Arabidopsis thaliana: one gene and its partners. The protein of the gene in region 3 interacts with the protein of the main gene of each other region in a biochemical or structural test. Each region holds a gene or a part of one and is shown on either strand. Other genes may lie near its edges.

Region 1 (3,473 bases), on a different chromosome or scaffold from region 3:
TTTCTATGGAAAAATGTTTTTACCTATTGTTGTATATTGTTCCTGACCAGAACAAGAGTTTTGAACTTTACAGTGGGTGTACAGCTTCATAGTGTTCTTCTTCCCAGGAGGATCAACAAATTTGAAAAGCGGATTGCTTCCGTGGCACGCAATGCTTGGCCTGTTTGTTTACATACTTGCTGTCGGGAATGCAGCTTTAGGGTTTCTGGAAAAGCTGACTTTCTTGGAGAATGGAGGGCTTGACAAGTATGGATCCGAAGCATTTCTTATCAACTTCACGGCCATTATCACTATTCTCTTTGGTGCCTTTGTGGTACTCACTGCTTCTGCTGAGTCTCCTTCTCCTTCTCCTTCCGTCTCCAATGATGATAGTGTTGACTTCAGTTATTCTGCTATATAAAACACTTTCTACATTCCACGTTACATCTGTATCGCCCCTTGTACTCTCAAAACTCCATTTATGTATGATGCATTTGTAGCGAAAAGCTTTGTGTGTTACGGCTTTGCTACTTCTGGTGTGTAAAATCTTCAATGATATTGATGAATCTTTTAAATCATTTTCTTTTCTTTTCTTTTCTTTCATATTGCCATTCCTTTAACCATATATGCTATTTGCCTTATTGGTGTCAAAGCATTTAAGACAAAACAAAAAACAAAACATTTTTTTTCCGGTTTTGCCTTAGAAATTTGATTTACATTACAATAAACGCAATTTACGTCGTTGTTGATGGAGAAAAGAATTCAGCAGAAGAATTACAATCTGAAGCCTCTCTATAAATATGATGCTCCTGCTTCTTACATTTGGAACCAAACACAATGTCGTTAAGAGTCCAGTTGCTGTTGTTGATCATCATTTCGTTGTAATGGAACTGATCAACATCACCCATTTCTTCATAAGCTGAGAGAGTCTCTTCGACATTTGGAGCTTGACTGTGCTTAGAGTCGGTAAACTCAGAGGAATAATCGGTGTGGGGATATGAAGAAGAAAGCCATTCAGAGAAGAAAAGCCTTGGAATCTCAGGAGCAGAAGAACATTGATGGCTGTTATTTCCGTTGCTTTCTTGTGAGGGAGATGAAGATTTGTTCTCTAGAAGTCTCTGGAAGGAGAACACGTGATTCGAGATCAAGGTTTCCGGATTTCTTTTTCCACAAGCAACAAGTGATGATGATGAAGACGAAGGAGGGGAAATAGATTTTGCATCTTGTAAGCTCTGAGACTTGAGCCATTTCTTTTTCAAATGAGAGTGCCAATAGTTCTTTATCTCATTGTCTGTTCTTCCCGGTAAGAATTTAGCTATTTGCGACCACCTAATTACACCTAAATCATTAGTCTCTCTATAACTAGCATCTGCTAAAACAATAGGGTTAGGTCTTAGAGATACACTTACTTGTTACCCAAGGAAGAATGAAACGTCAAGATAGTCTCTTCTTCTTCTGCACTAATCATATCCCTCTTTAACCCTGGTCTTAGGTAATTAATCCATCTTAATCTGCAGCTCTTCCCATTCCTTTGTAACCCTATCAAATTAAATCCCAACAACAATTATCAAAGTTGACTCAGTTTGAGAAACTAAAAACTAATAAAGAAGAAGATGAAAGAGAGACCAGCTTTGATGGGAACAGTGGTCCAGCAAGAATGGCCATAAGAGAGGATGAAGCTCCTTAGCTTCTCGTCTTCTTCAGGTGACCATAACCCTTTCCTATGTCTCTCTCCATATTTCGTCTTCGCCATTTCTCTTTAGTCAGCTGTCTGTCCTGATACAAGAAAACATGTCTCAATACTATATATGGTGATTGAGACAACATATATATCACCAAACGTCCACAGATAGAGCCTACATACTTGGTGTTAAGAAATGACCAAATGGGCCTGCTTAGAGTAAATGACAAATGACATATATATTTCTATTTTTATGAAAATTTGGGATATAATTTATGTGTTAATTTCTTATGAGTATACTGTATGCATTTGTATAAGCAGTGAGGAGAAAAGTCATAATGGAATATGTAAGGATTAATTAGGTGTCAAAAGTCTGCTTGGATAAATTTAAATTATTGATATAATGTTCCAACTTAAAATAAATTAGCAATTTTCAGTATATATAAGATTTGAGATTCCTACCTATAAAAAAAAAAAAAAAGAAGAATCTTTGCTTGTTTTTGTTCTTTCACTTTGTTTTCTTATTGTTTGTTTTCCTTATATTTACTTCATTTATAATGGACGATGCCTTAAGAATTTACACACTAATCAGATAACATCTTCATATCCAAAAATCTCTAAAATGTCGGCAAGAATTTTATATTAACGACTTCTTTAATTTATGTTTAAATCGCGTCAATGAGTTTTTTGGTTAGAAACGATCATCCGGGTGGAATAATCTGTCTGATTCAATCCAATGATTGTGAATAATGAAGTAATGATTATAGAGAATCATCCAATCTGTTAATCTTTTCGTAAAGCATCATTAGCAAGCAGACAAATTGCATTTGCTAATACAAGTACTTGAAATAATTATTATATGATTTGAGAGCTCTTTTTCTCTTAATTATAAAATTTTGTAGTGAAGTCAACATTGAGCTCCTATTTGCTGCTAGTAATTATTTCATATTTTTTCCTCTCACGATGTTTTTCTTACATTCACACTGACAAGTGGACCAATAATAAGAGTTATTTGAGGAATATTGTGAATTTCAACAATTTGAATTCCTTCTGTCCCGATCGAAATGGCCTGTCCCAATTTTAAAAATACTCTGATTTTGTTTTTTACTTGTTGGCTCTTTTGGCCTGTGGAAAATGACGAGTAAAGAAAATTGAGAGGGAAACAATAAAAAAGTGTCTACCTTGTCTTGGTCGTCTTGATAACATAATATAATTTGCCGTCAAACTAATCCCCAATGAAACACGACTAATAAATTTTATACATCTAATGTTATGATGACTTAATCCTTAGCCCTCGGAGAATAAATTTTATACATCTAATGTTATGATAACTAGGATACTTTAGATTGTTCGTCTACAACAAAACTTCTCCTCCTTCGACCATTAGGCCTTGTGGTATGTTGATAAAACTTTATGAAATATGTTGACAAAGAAGGTTAAACATGGCTTAGTTTTATGCACCAAAATAAAAACATCATTCAACATTGAATGAAACACATGTTTTACGGTTAGAGAAGACAGGCGTTAGTCAAACAATGACAAATGCTTTTAAAAATGAGATACAATAATCTTTGTTTTTTGTGCTGACACTTTGAACCGGTTCTACATAAAAGCCAACAAGTCTATAATGCAAAAAACCCAACTCGCATCATTGGAAAACCCCATCTCTAATCCGGTAGCTACAGCTCTCTACCGTACCTAAGTAACTTACCCATCTGATAGGTTCCTTGTTCTTGAACACACCGAGTCGAAATCACGAACTAATCATGTTGAAATGGAATCTGGATAGCTGCTGCGGAATGGTTGATATAAC
Region 2 (4,585 bases), on a different chromosome or scaffold from region 3:
CGGTTCAACTTTTACTATTGTTAAGTGTTTTCGATCGACTATTTCAAACTTTGGAATAAATTTATATATGAAAACAGTATGCAAAAATATCTAAGATATTTAACTCAATTATTGCTAAATAGATTCTGACCAGTATGCACATGGCTTAAAGACTTATAATGTCGATGTTTTTGACAATTGACACATGACTCTCACTCAAATCTGGCTCCATCACATGTGATTTGGCTTTTTCCATCTATACATAATTTTAGACAATCAGCAAGAAAAGCTTATGTTATGATTTTTTATTTATTTATGGAACAATATGAAATCATAAGATATTAATATTTTACCAAACTCTAGCCAGACGGTTGATCATCTGTGTTTTTCTTAAAGTTTTTTTTTGTGTTTCTTATTTTTTGAATATGAACATATGATTTCTTATTAGGGGAACAGAGAAAAATTGAATGGACTTTTAGATACATCTTCAAAATTAGGTGTGATCTATAATCTATAAGTGTCATCTAGTTCTATTTTCGAAAAAAATTTCGATTACTTAGATATATCCTTGTTTTGATTAGAAAATAAACTGCATCCCAAAGTTTTTACGATTACAAAAATCACATGTCCTGTTTTTAAGATGTTGTTTACAAAAAATCTCATCATGTCATTTTGACATACATAAACTCACATATACAGAAAATAACGTAATGAAGTTGCACGTTTACTCTATAATAATACATCCTTGAACGTTTTAAGTATGTTCAGAAAGATAGATATAAAAAAGAAACATACCAAAAATAAGGAAGTAAAAAAGTGGCTCACCAACCTAGTGGTCCAAACGAGAACCGTCGGTGGTCTTCGTCGGCACAGACGACGGTTGTTGACTTTGCTGTCCCGCCGGTGAACTAAATCTCAACATCTCCATCGGCTGCATCTAATAAAAAACCACACAACGTGTCAACTAAAACTACGTCGGTTTAACATTTTTTCTTATCTCGTATTAATGTAGTAAACCCAAAAAACATTTTACCAAAATCGTCGTTTAATAAACACGGCTTCGTATTGGCCTTACCTGAGTCGCGGCCTGCATGTGTGGGAACCCACCGATGTATCTAGCAAACCGGTCGGAGATGATCTGGTTTTGTACCGGGTTTTGGCAAACTAAACCGGGATTGTTCTGAATTGCAGACTGATCCATAACCGGAAATCGAGGTAACTGTACCGGGCTCTGTATCTGACGTATGAACTGCTGAGGTTGAACTCCGGGGAACATCATCGGAGCCGAAGCCGCCGCCGCCGCCATTCCACTCCCCATCCACATCACTTGAAGCTGTAACTGAAGTGATTTCAAATAATCTATGGCTTCGTCTAAAATCGAAGCTTTATCAGTCTGCAAAAACACACCAATGAATGAATCAATCTTCATTTCTTAATCTGATTCACTTTTAGATTTGATTTGTATCAACTCACTTTACTGCAGTGAGGTATTAGTTCTTGCAAAGCCTTCATTCTCTCATTGATCCTATCTCTCCTCCTCTATTTAAGTTATGAAAAGAAGAAAATAAAAAACAGAGTTTTGTATCTGTTTTCTTTGTATAAATGTTATACGATTCTCTAACATTAAACTATATATTATATATTATATAGACGAACCGATGAAGTACCCTTTCGGAGAGATTATGAACTTCAGCTGCTCGACTCCTTCGGTTTGATCCTGATCGTTGGTTCGACTTGTTACCGATTGCCTGCAAAATGTATTATGTATTACTCTCTGAGATAGACCAAGATTACGTTTTCAAGAAGTAATTATCATGAGTTAGAATTAAAGGAAGCATACATCTGATAGAGATACAGATTCGTCAGTGTGATTTATACGTTTTCTCTTACGGTCGGTTGTGATGCATCTTCCACTAGCCATTTCTTTGATATCTTTGCCAAAGCTGCAACCAGAGGAGCCACCTGATGAGGAACTTGCGTTCGGATTAAGCTTTTCTTCTATGTTTTTGCTTCGATCATGACTCATTGAGACATCGAGATCGTTCTGTGATGGGTTGCTTCCGCAATGGCTAGGTCCAACGGTCGTTACCGAGTACTGTTCCATTTCTGTTTCCCTAATCCCCGATGATGAATTTGTTAACCTAAATTTTGGAGGAGGCATGACTTGAGGAGGAGGGTCAGGACAGGCCTTAGGCTTAACCATGACTTGAGGAGGTTCAGGACTGGACTTAGGCTTAACCGTCTCTGAGGTTGGTCTCTGGAGGGGATCCATGGTTGAGAAGAAGTGGGAGGAGAAGTCGTCGGGTTCGAATGGGTCTTCATCTGGAGGGTATTGGATCCAAGAGACAGTTTCTTGATCTTCAAGAAAGGTGCTGGATCTTAGGGCTTCTTCATGATGATCTTGTTTCTGGGTTTGGGTTTGTTCTCTATGAGTTTGGCTCTGCAGAACCACTTGTCCATCTCGCCATAATAACTCCACTAGTTCATCTTGTGGCCTAGACATCAATACACACACACACAGACTATATTATAAAGTTTTTTTTTTAATGAATGAAAACATTAGATCAAAGATTATTAAATAATACCTGATAGATCTTCTATTAGTGGACAAACTATAATTCTCCTCAAAACTCCAACCTTGGTGTTCCATGTCAGATCTCTGGAGACATTTCAAAATAAAAAGAAAAAAAAGTTTTATTAACCTCAGAATATATTTTATAGCACTAGTGAACAGAGCTAATGATAACTTATGATTAAGAGATACAAGGAGGAGCATATATAAAATCGAATTTTATAATTCAGAGTCCTAATAGTTTATTTACTCTAATCATTATAGAATGATTTTAAAATAATTAAAATTTAAAGCAAGTCCATGAGTCCGTTCTCTTGTTAAACATCTTTTTTTATATTCTGGCAATCTAGGAAAGCTTGCAAAATAGTTATTTCCAAATATAGCCACATCTTATAAAACCAAAAACCCGTATAAAAAGAGTACTACTGACCAGATTAGGAAAGCTTCTGGACGAATCAGAAGTTGAAAGAGAAGATCTATATAACCTGATATGTGGAACTAGTCCAAGTTCCACGCCCAACACAACTCTCTATCTCTCTCCTCTCACTCTAAGAGACCAGAAAATTGTTGAGAAACAACTCACAAAACATGAAAGAAACAGAGAAGAAGAAGATGAGAGAGGTTCATTACTTCTTTTGGGTACAGACAGAAAGTGACAGGAGCATAAAGATATTACAGCGAGGGAGATAATGATTCTCTAGGGACAACAGTACTGCAATCTTTTGAAATGAACGACACGTGGCAAGTTCTGGGACATTGTGTTGGAATCAGTGGGACACATACAAGTGAAGATCTCTCTCTTCTTTTAAGCGATGAGATCTATTGCTTGATTTTTAGAGGTGGTTTCTTATCTGTACCTTATCTAAAAAAACTCTGAAAACAATGATTTGAGGGTGTTTTTGTCAAATCACAATCATCTATAGCGTTATGGTTTTTGTCGATACCTTTCTCATATATACCAAAATTATCTTTAACTTGACGTTTTATTCTTCAAGTCTTTTGCTATACGTCAAATTTAATTACGTGTTTGTTTGTTATCTACGATGTATATAAAAGATGATTTATTATCCGAGTTCAATGCTCTCAACGAGTTTATAATTGTTCATATCATCGTTTTTGGCGTTTATCACGTTGCATTGAAAGGGCACCCTTGGCTTAATAAGAAATACAAAAGAATTTCACACAACATACTACTACAGTTAGTTTCTGATAACCTTAATCTTTTTACTACTCACCTAATAATGTTTTTTTTGGTTGTAAATTGGAAAAAGATCTAGTATGTTCTTCGATGATTCATTTCGTTTTAAATAGGCAATTAATTCTGTTGTCGTAATAACAATTATTAGTGGACCATTGTGCCTACTTGTAATGGACCATATCCCATACCGCGTCTCGGTTTGTATTTCTAAAATCATCACATTAAAATAATATACTTCATGCTAAGTTTTCCTGAAATGTATATCATTAATTTCTATAAATTCCACATGAAGATTATTATTTTTTTAATTATTCTCTAGCAATGTGGTTTTAAAATATAATTTTGACCATACGGATTTCAAATTTTCATAGATTGAAATTGTGATAGCCAAATACAGGACGCGGAATGAACGGATCAACAGAACAATGACAACCAAACTGCAACTGCATTTTATTAAAAATTTAGGTGACAAAAACATAAAACATTAATTTTCATACTATAGTCTTCAATTATGTGTACCAGGTAATTGGAGTGGTACGCCCGCTCGAATGCTTCGGCCCCAAATGTGTTTGGGAAACATTCACACGAATGGTTTATTTTTGTGTGTCGAATAAATATTTAAGTGAAGTAGTATAGTAATAGTACAATATTACTTTTTAATTAATAAGACAGTCTAACTAATTTAGCCTTTTTATATTGTTGTCAGTCAATCATACCTATACTCTGTCGTGTACTGAAAATTCGTGATGGTGTTACGGTGTATGTAATTACTGATTAGTAAGATATTACTTTGCTGAAAAACATAAATTGTTTCAGCGCAGACAGTAACAATAAAA
Region 3 (4,584 bases):
TGACATTGTTTTTCACTAAAGCCAAGCCTTATTGAGACAAAAGGATATGTATTTGTAAAATAATACGTATATAAGTGTGCGCCTGTGTCTGTGCGTGTAGAATTTTTCTTTTTTTATATATAAATATGAATTGTGTCTCGAGTTTCGGACGTAATATTTCTTGTGTGTGTATTTACCTAGCTCAGAAAACAAAAGAAAAGAGATTATTACTCACAAGTCACAACTTTAAAACAGAAAACATTTTGAATTTTCCACAAAAAAATGAATATATCAACTGTGGAAAAGCGATGTGTAAACACAAAACGCAAATCAATAATTGATGTGTAAGAAAGTGATTAATAATTCTCGAAGTCAAGTTTCCTCATTTCTTCTTTTGATCTTTTCTCATACATCCGGCCCTATATTTGGCAGAGCCACATCCTAACTTCTAAGTAACATGCAGTGTGCAGAGGTAAGTTAATGTTACTTTTTGTACATTAACATTATCATAGTGTATGACCCACTGGTCCTGAATTTGAGATGCTGAAGATAAAGCTAGTTGGGATGCATGTAACCAAGTGTAAACGTTTGAGACGCTTAAGAATCAGGGAAATCTTGTTCCTACGTTCAATGCTCTTATAAGCATGTCTCAATATATTTTACAAAATATCAGATAAATGAAAAAATTGTTACATGCAAGAATTTATACAAAAAGTTTTAACTTATTGATTATTATTAATATACAAAACCACCCGGAAAAAAAAGTATATGACACAAATGGTTCACACAAACTGTCCTAATTTGGAACTCTTTTCTCTCTTAATTAGTCAACGATCATTTCACATAAACTTTTATCGAGCTACTTACTTATCATAGTCTTCTCATCGCATGGGAAGAAAAATCCAAGAAACTTGGGAAATAAGGAACCAAACCGTGAAGAGACTGAGGAGAAGAAGCTGGTGATGATGTTGTAAGAAATAGAGATTGACTAGATGAATGTGGGAATGAAATATTAGTAAACGGTGGTAATGGCCAATTTAACGCCGGAATTAGCGGCGATGGCATCATGTGATTCGCCGGATTTAGGCCGTGAGCCGAAGCCATTGCCGTCAGCATGTGGTTGTGCATTCCAAATCCTAATGTCGCCGGAAGAAAATAAGGATTCACCCCCACTGTTGACATCATCTGCAATTATAACATCAACTTTGATTACAACTTAGTTTCTGAATATAAATAGCACATATACATATTCGAATGATCAAAATGGGTACATAGTTCTATAAAATATAAAACATTTAGTTGGCACTAAATAATCACATGAAAAGAGATGAATTCGAAATATTAAAGAAATTCTATAGACTTCACCATCTAGGTTATCTACTGCCTACTATATATCATTCCATTTTTTTCGTCACTAAACACCAAAAAGTGGCTATATTTGTTTGATCAATTTGAAACCCATATTGTAAAACAATAATCCATATCTCATAAGTTGGCGAGTCAGATCGAATACCAAGAACAGTTTATGTCAACTAGTTAAATTAACCAAAAAAAAACTCAGACTATTAGATAAACACTTAAAACCTCAAGCCTCAATAATTCAAATATATGGAAGAAGAACACTGAATAAAGTGTGAAATAAAAATAGTGAATAAAGTTAAATATAGACCTGAAGTTGAAGTTGAAGGTTTTTCATATACTCTATGGTCTTGTCGAGAACCGAAACCTTGTCCGTCTGAAAACCGTAAAAAAGCACCACCCGTTATCAGAATTGGAAACTTAAGGCAAGATTTCTTCATATATGCAACGGAAGTAGCGGAAACTTATACGGAAAAGACTAGACACTCAATAGTTAAATTGAAACATTATATAGAAGGATCTATATACACACCAACCTTGTGACAATTAGGTACGAGTTGCTGTAGCTTACGCATCTTATTACTCATCTTCTCGTCTCTTCTTCTTCTCTTGGAACCTTTTCGAGTAACTGAAGGAACTTCTCTTGTAAACTCCTCCGATTCATCCTAAATTAATTAATTTTATTTATAGAAAGAAAAAATTAAAAACAGTGAAAAATGATAATACATAAGGTAACATGAAAATATATCTATGTATCGACTTACATCACTACTTAAGACCTGGATACGACGTTTTTTGGGGTTCTCATGTTTGTTTCTCAGATAAAATCGATGATCTGATCTCTCTGAAAAATCTTTAATATGATGATGATCATCAGTTTCAGAATGTTCATCAGGGACAACAACCAATAAATCCTCCTTCGCATTTTCTACTTCTTTATGAATCTCTGGAACAATCTGAAGATAATTATCAGTTTGATCATGATCAAAGTAGCCGTAGCCCCATTTTAGACCGTTGATTAGACGATCTTCATCACTTCTTGCTCTTTCTGACATCATGCCCTGATCTTTCACAGCAAGTGATCCGACGTCGTTTCTCCATCCCAATTCCATGAAAGCTTGATTATTCGACCTGCCAAGAAAAAAGTAGTAAACTATTAGGGTTTACGATACAAATCATTGATAAATTATTAAAGAAATAAATAAAGAGAATAACAAGGCAAGAAACCTAAACTCTGAAACCTCCTGTTTAATTATACTTACATGTTAGTTAAAGAGATATCGGAGATGAAAAGTTTGGAGAAGTGTTTTTTCTTTAGGGATTTCAGCTTTGTCCGAGAAAATGGTATCCCATACGCTTATGTTATAAGAGCGATCGGATCAGATAGATGGTATAGTTGTCAGCTACATTGGTGACCCACTTATATTGTGCCACGTTTCAAAGTATGTGTGGTTCGTTTGTTGCGTACACCGACAACAATAAAACAATTCGGCTAGATTCTAACATACAGCTACACGAGGTTATTATAGACATATTGATGTCATTTGAGTTCTTTGGAAACAATACTTTTTTGGATTCACAACAAACATTGTAATGAAAATATTGTTTTACTAAAATAATTAATACAGTAATTAAATTAGTTTTTATTTTGGAAAAGTATTGTCAAATAATTCCATTATCACAAATTCACAATGTACTTAAATGGATTATTATTCTGCTTATTGTTTTTATGATTCTATACGTAATTGTCCCAAAACTACGTCATAGTAGCATATATCGACTTTAGAGTAATCTTGAAATTTTGCACAGAAAGATAAAAGTAATCTTGATTAATCAATAACGTCACTAGATTCACTACCACTTTGACACATGAACATAGAGATAAATTTATCTTTGTACGTATAGAATGTATTCATTTATATATTGAGATTTGAGAGACAGTTTAATAGTATTTCTTAACCAAGAACTGTAATGCACAACGGGTAGGGCCATTTTTATCCGTTTAATTATTTTTCCCGTAATCTTATCGTTTATCATTGAATACTCGTCATTAAGCTTTATCTTTATATATATATAAAACAATGTAAAATATCGGATGTCTATTTGTTTATTTTTGGTCAGATCATCTCTAAATATAAAAACAAAAAGATGACGTCTCCGTTTGGAAAAAAAAAGGTTGACTACCACAAGTTTCATAATATAATCGACAAAAAAATATCGTCTGTAACAACGATAAGATTATTCGATCTCCCAATTGGTAAATTCGTTATTATGAAAGGCTTACAAAATTCAGTAACCAGCAATCATAATAATTTCAGAGTTATGATACTAGAGTTCACTTTTTTGTGCAATAATATAATGGTCGATTATTTCCAGCCTGAGAATGCATTTCATTTCATGACCATTTATGGATTCCTGAAAAAAGAATTCATTTAGGGTTTTATCCAAAATCCCACGTGGGTTGTGGGCTCTAAACCAATCCTATAACGAATCAGTTTTTTTTGTTTTCTGTAACCCCACGACACATTTATTGGAATTTTAGAGTCACGTCATCATCAACCATACACCGAGCAGGTGCGATGGTCCACATTATTACTATCTTTGATAAAAAAGGTCCACACTATTTTCCTTAATTAAAAAAAACTCCAATAATTACAACATATTCTGAATAAACAAAAATGACCTGGTTACTAAATATCAACAATCAAAAAAAAAAAAAAACAGTATCAAATTCTAATTTCGAATTAGTAGAACAAAAATACTAATTATTATTATTCAATTGACTAATGAATGTTAACTTTGTAGCGTTGAATCAAATGGGCCTGAAAAAAATCGAAAAAGAGAGAGAGAGAGGAAGAAGAAAAGGCGTGTTCACGTGATGCCCTCGTGATGGACATGGTGCTATGTCTGACACTTGGGTACTTTATATTTTGTTGGTGTCTTAGCGAGCGACGAAGCAAAACCACAGCCACTACATAGGTTTCCAATCTCCTTCACGACAACGACCTCTCGGAATATACGTTCCAATCTACAACTTCCCACTGTTCAATCTATTTGATATTATGGAAAAACTTTGCATTATTGATTCTTATTTTAATATTTTTCTCTTGTTCCCACCGTTTTGGTTGGAATCATATACTATACGAAGTACTATTTGTGTATCTAGTGGTTGATTGACGATTTTTATTTTTGTTGTACATTAAATGCAGCATCTATGATCTATCTATCTTCTTCTTTTTTTGCCAA

Evidence for each region.
Region 1: the proteins of HFR1 (region 3) and LAF1 form a complex in vitro, tested with the Arabidopsis thaliana proteins (one study listed by BioGRID).
Region 2: the proteins of HFR1 (region 3) and PIF4 form a complex in vitro, tested with the Arabidopsis thaliana proteins (one study listed by BioGRID).

Annotation. Positions count from the first base shown.
Region 1 is NC_003075.7:13,050,814-13,054,286, reverse strand, and holds LAF1 (myb domain protein 18), read right to left. Parts: upstream 1,785-3,473; 5' UTR 1,733-1,784; coding exon 1,606-1,732; intron 1,560-1,605; exon of another isoform or gene 1,519-1,559; coding exon 1,389-1,518; intron 1,309-1,388; coding exon 714-1,308; 3' UTR 545-713; downstream 1-544. Other genes in the region: ACYB-2 (Cytochrome b561/ferric reductase transmembrane protein family), read left to right, coding at 74-400; AT4G25550 (Cleavage/polyadenylation specificity factor, 25kDa subunit), read right to left, coding at 3,414-3,473. UniProt on the Arabidopsis thaliana protein: Transcription factor that promotes photomorphogenesis in the light by participating in the transmission of phytochrome A (phyA) signals to downstream responses. Probably acts by activating expression of light-induced genes.
Region 2 is NC_003071.7:17,885,047-17,889,631, reverse strand, and holds PIF4 (phytochrome interacting factor 4), read right to left. Parts: upstream 2,835-4,585; 5' UTR 2,756-2,834; coding exon 2,565-2,755; intron 2,475-2,564; coding exon 1,820-2,474; intron 1,728-1,819; coding exon 1,647-1,727; intron 1,519-1,646; coding exon 1,453-1,518; intron 1,373-1,452; coding exon 1,055-1,372; coding exon of another isoform or gene 1,025-1,054; exon of another isoform or gene 917-1,024; coding exon 809-916; 3' UTR 545-808; downstream 1-544. UniProt on the Arabidopsis thaliana protein: Transcription factor acting negatively in the phytochrome B signaling pathway. May regulate the expression of a subset of genes involved in cell expansion by binding to the G-box motif.
Region 3 is NC_003070.9:465,084-469,667, forward strand, and holds HFR1 (basic helix-loop-helix (bHLH) DNA-binding superfamily protein), read right to left. Parts: upstream 2,798-4,584; 5' UTR 2,603-2,797; coding exon 2,601-2,602; exon of another isoform or gene 2,470-2,600; coding exon 2,103-2,469; intron 2,004-2,102; coding exon 1,875-2,003; intron 1,715-1,874; coding exon 1,649-1,714; intron 1,165-1,648; coding exon 850-1,164; 3' UTR 533-849; downstream 1-532. UniProt on the Arabidopsis thaliana protein: Atypical bHLH transcription factor that regulates photomorphogenesis through modulation of phytochrome (e.g. PHYA) and cryptochrome signalings. Suppresses the transcriptional regulation activity of PIF4 by forming non-DNA-binding heterodimer.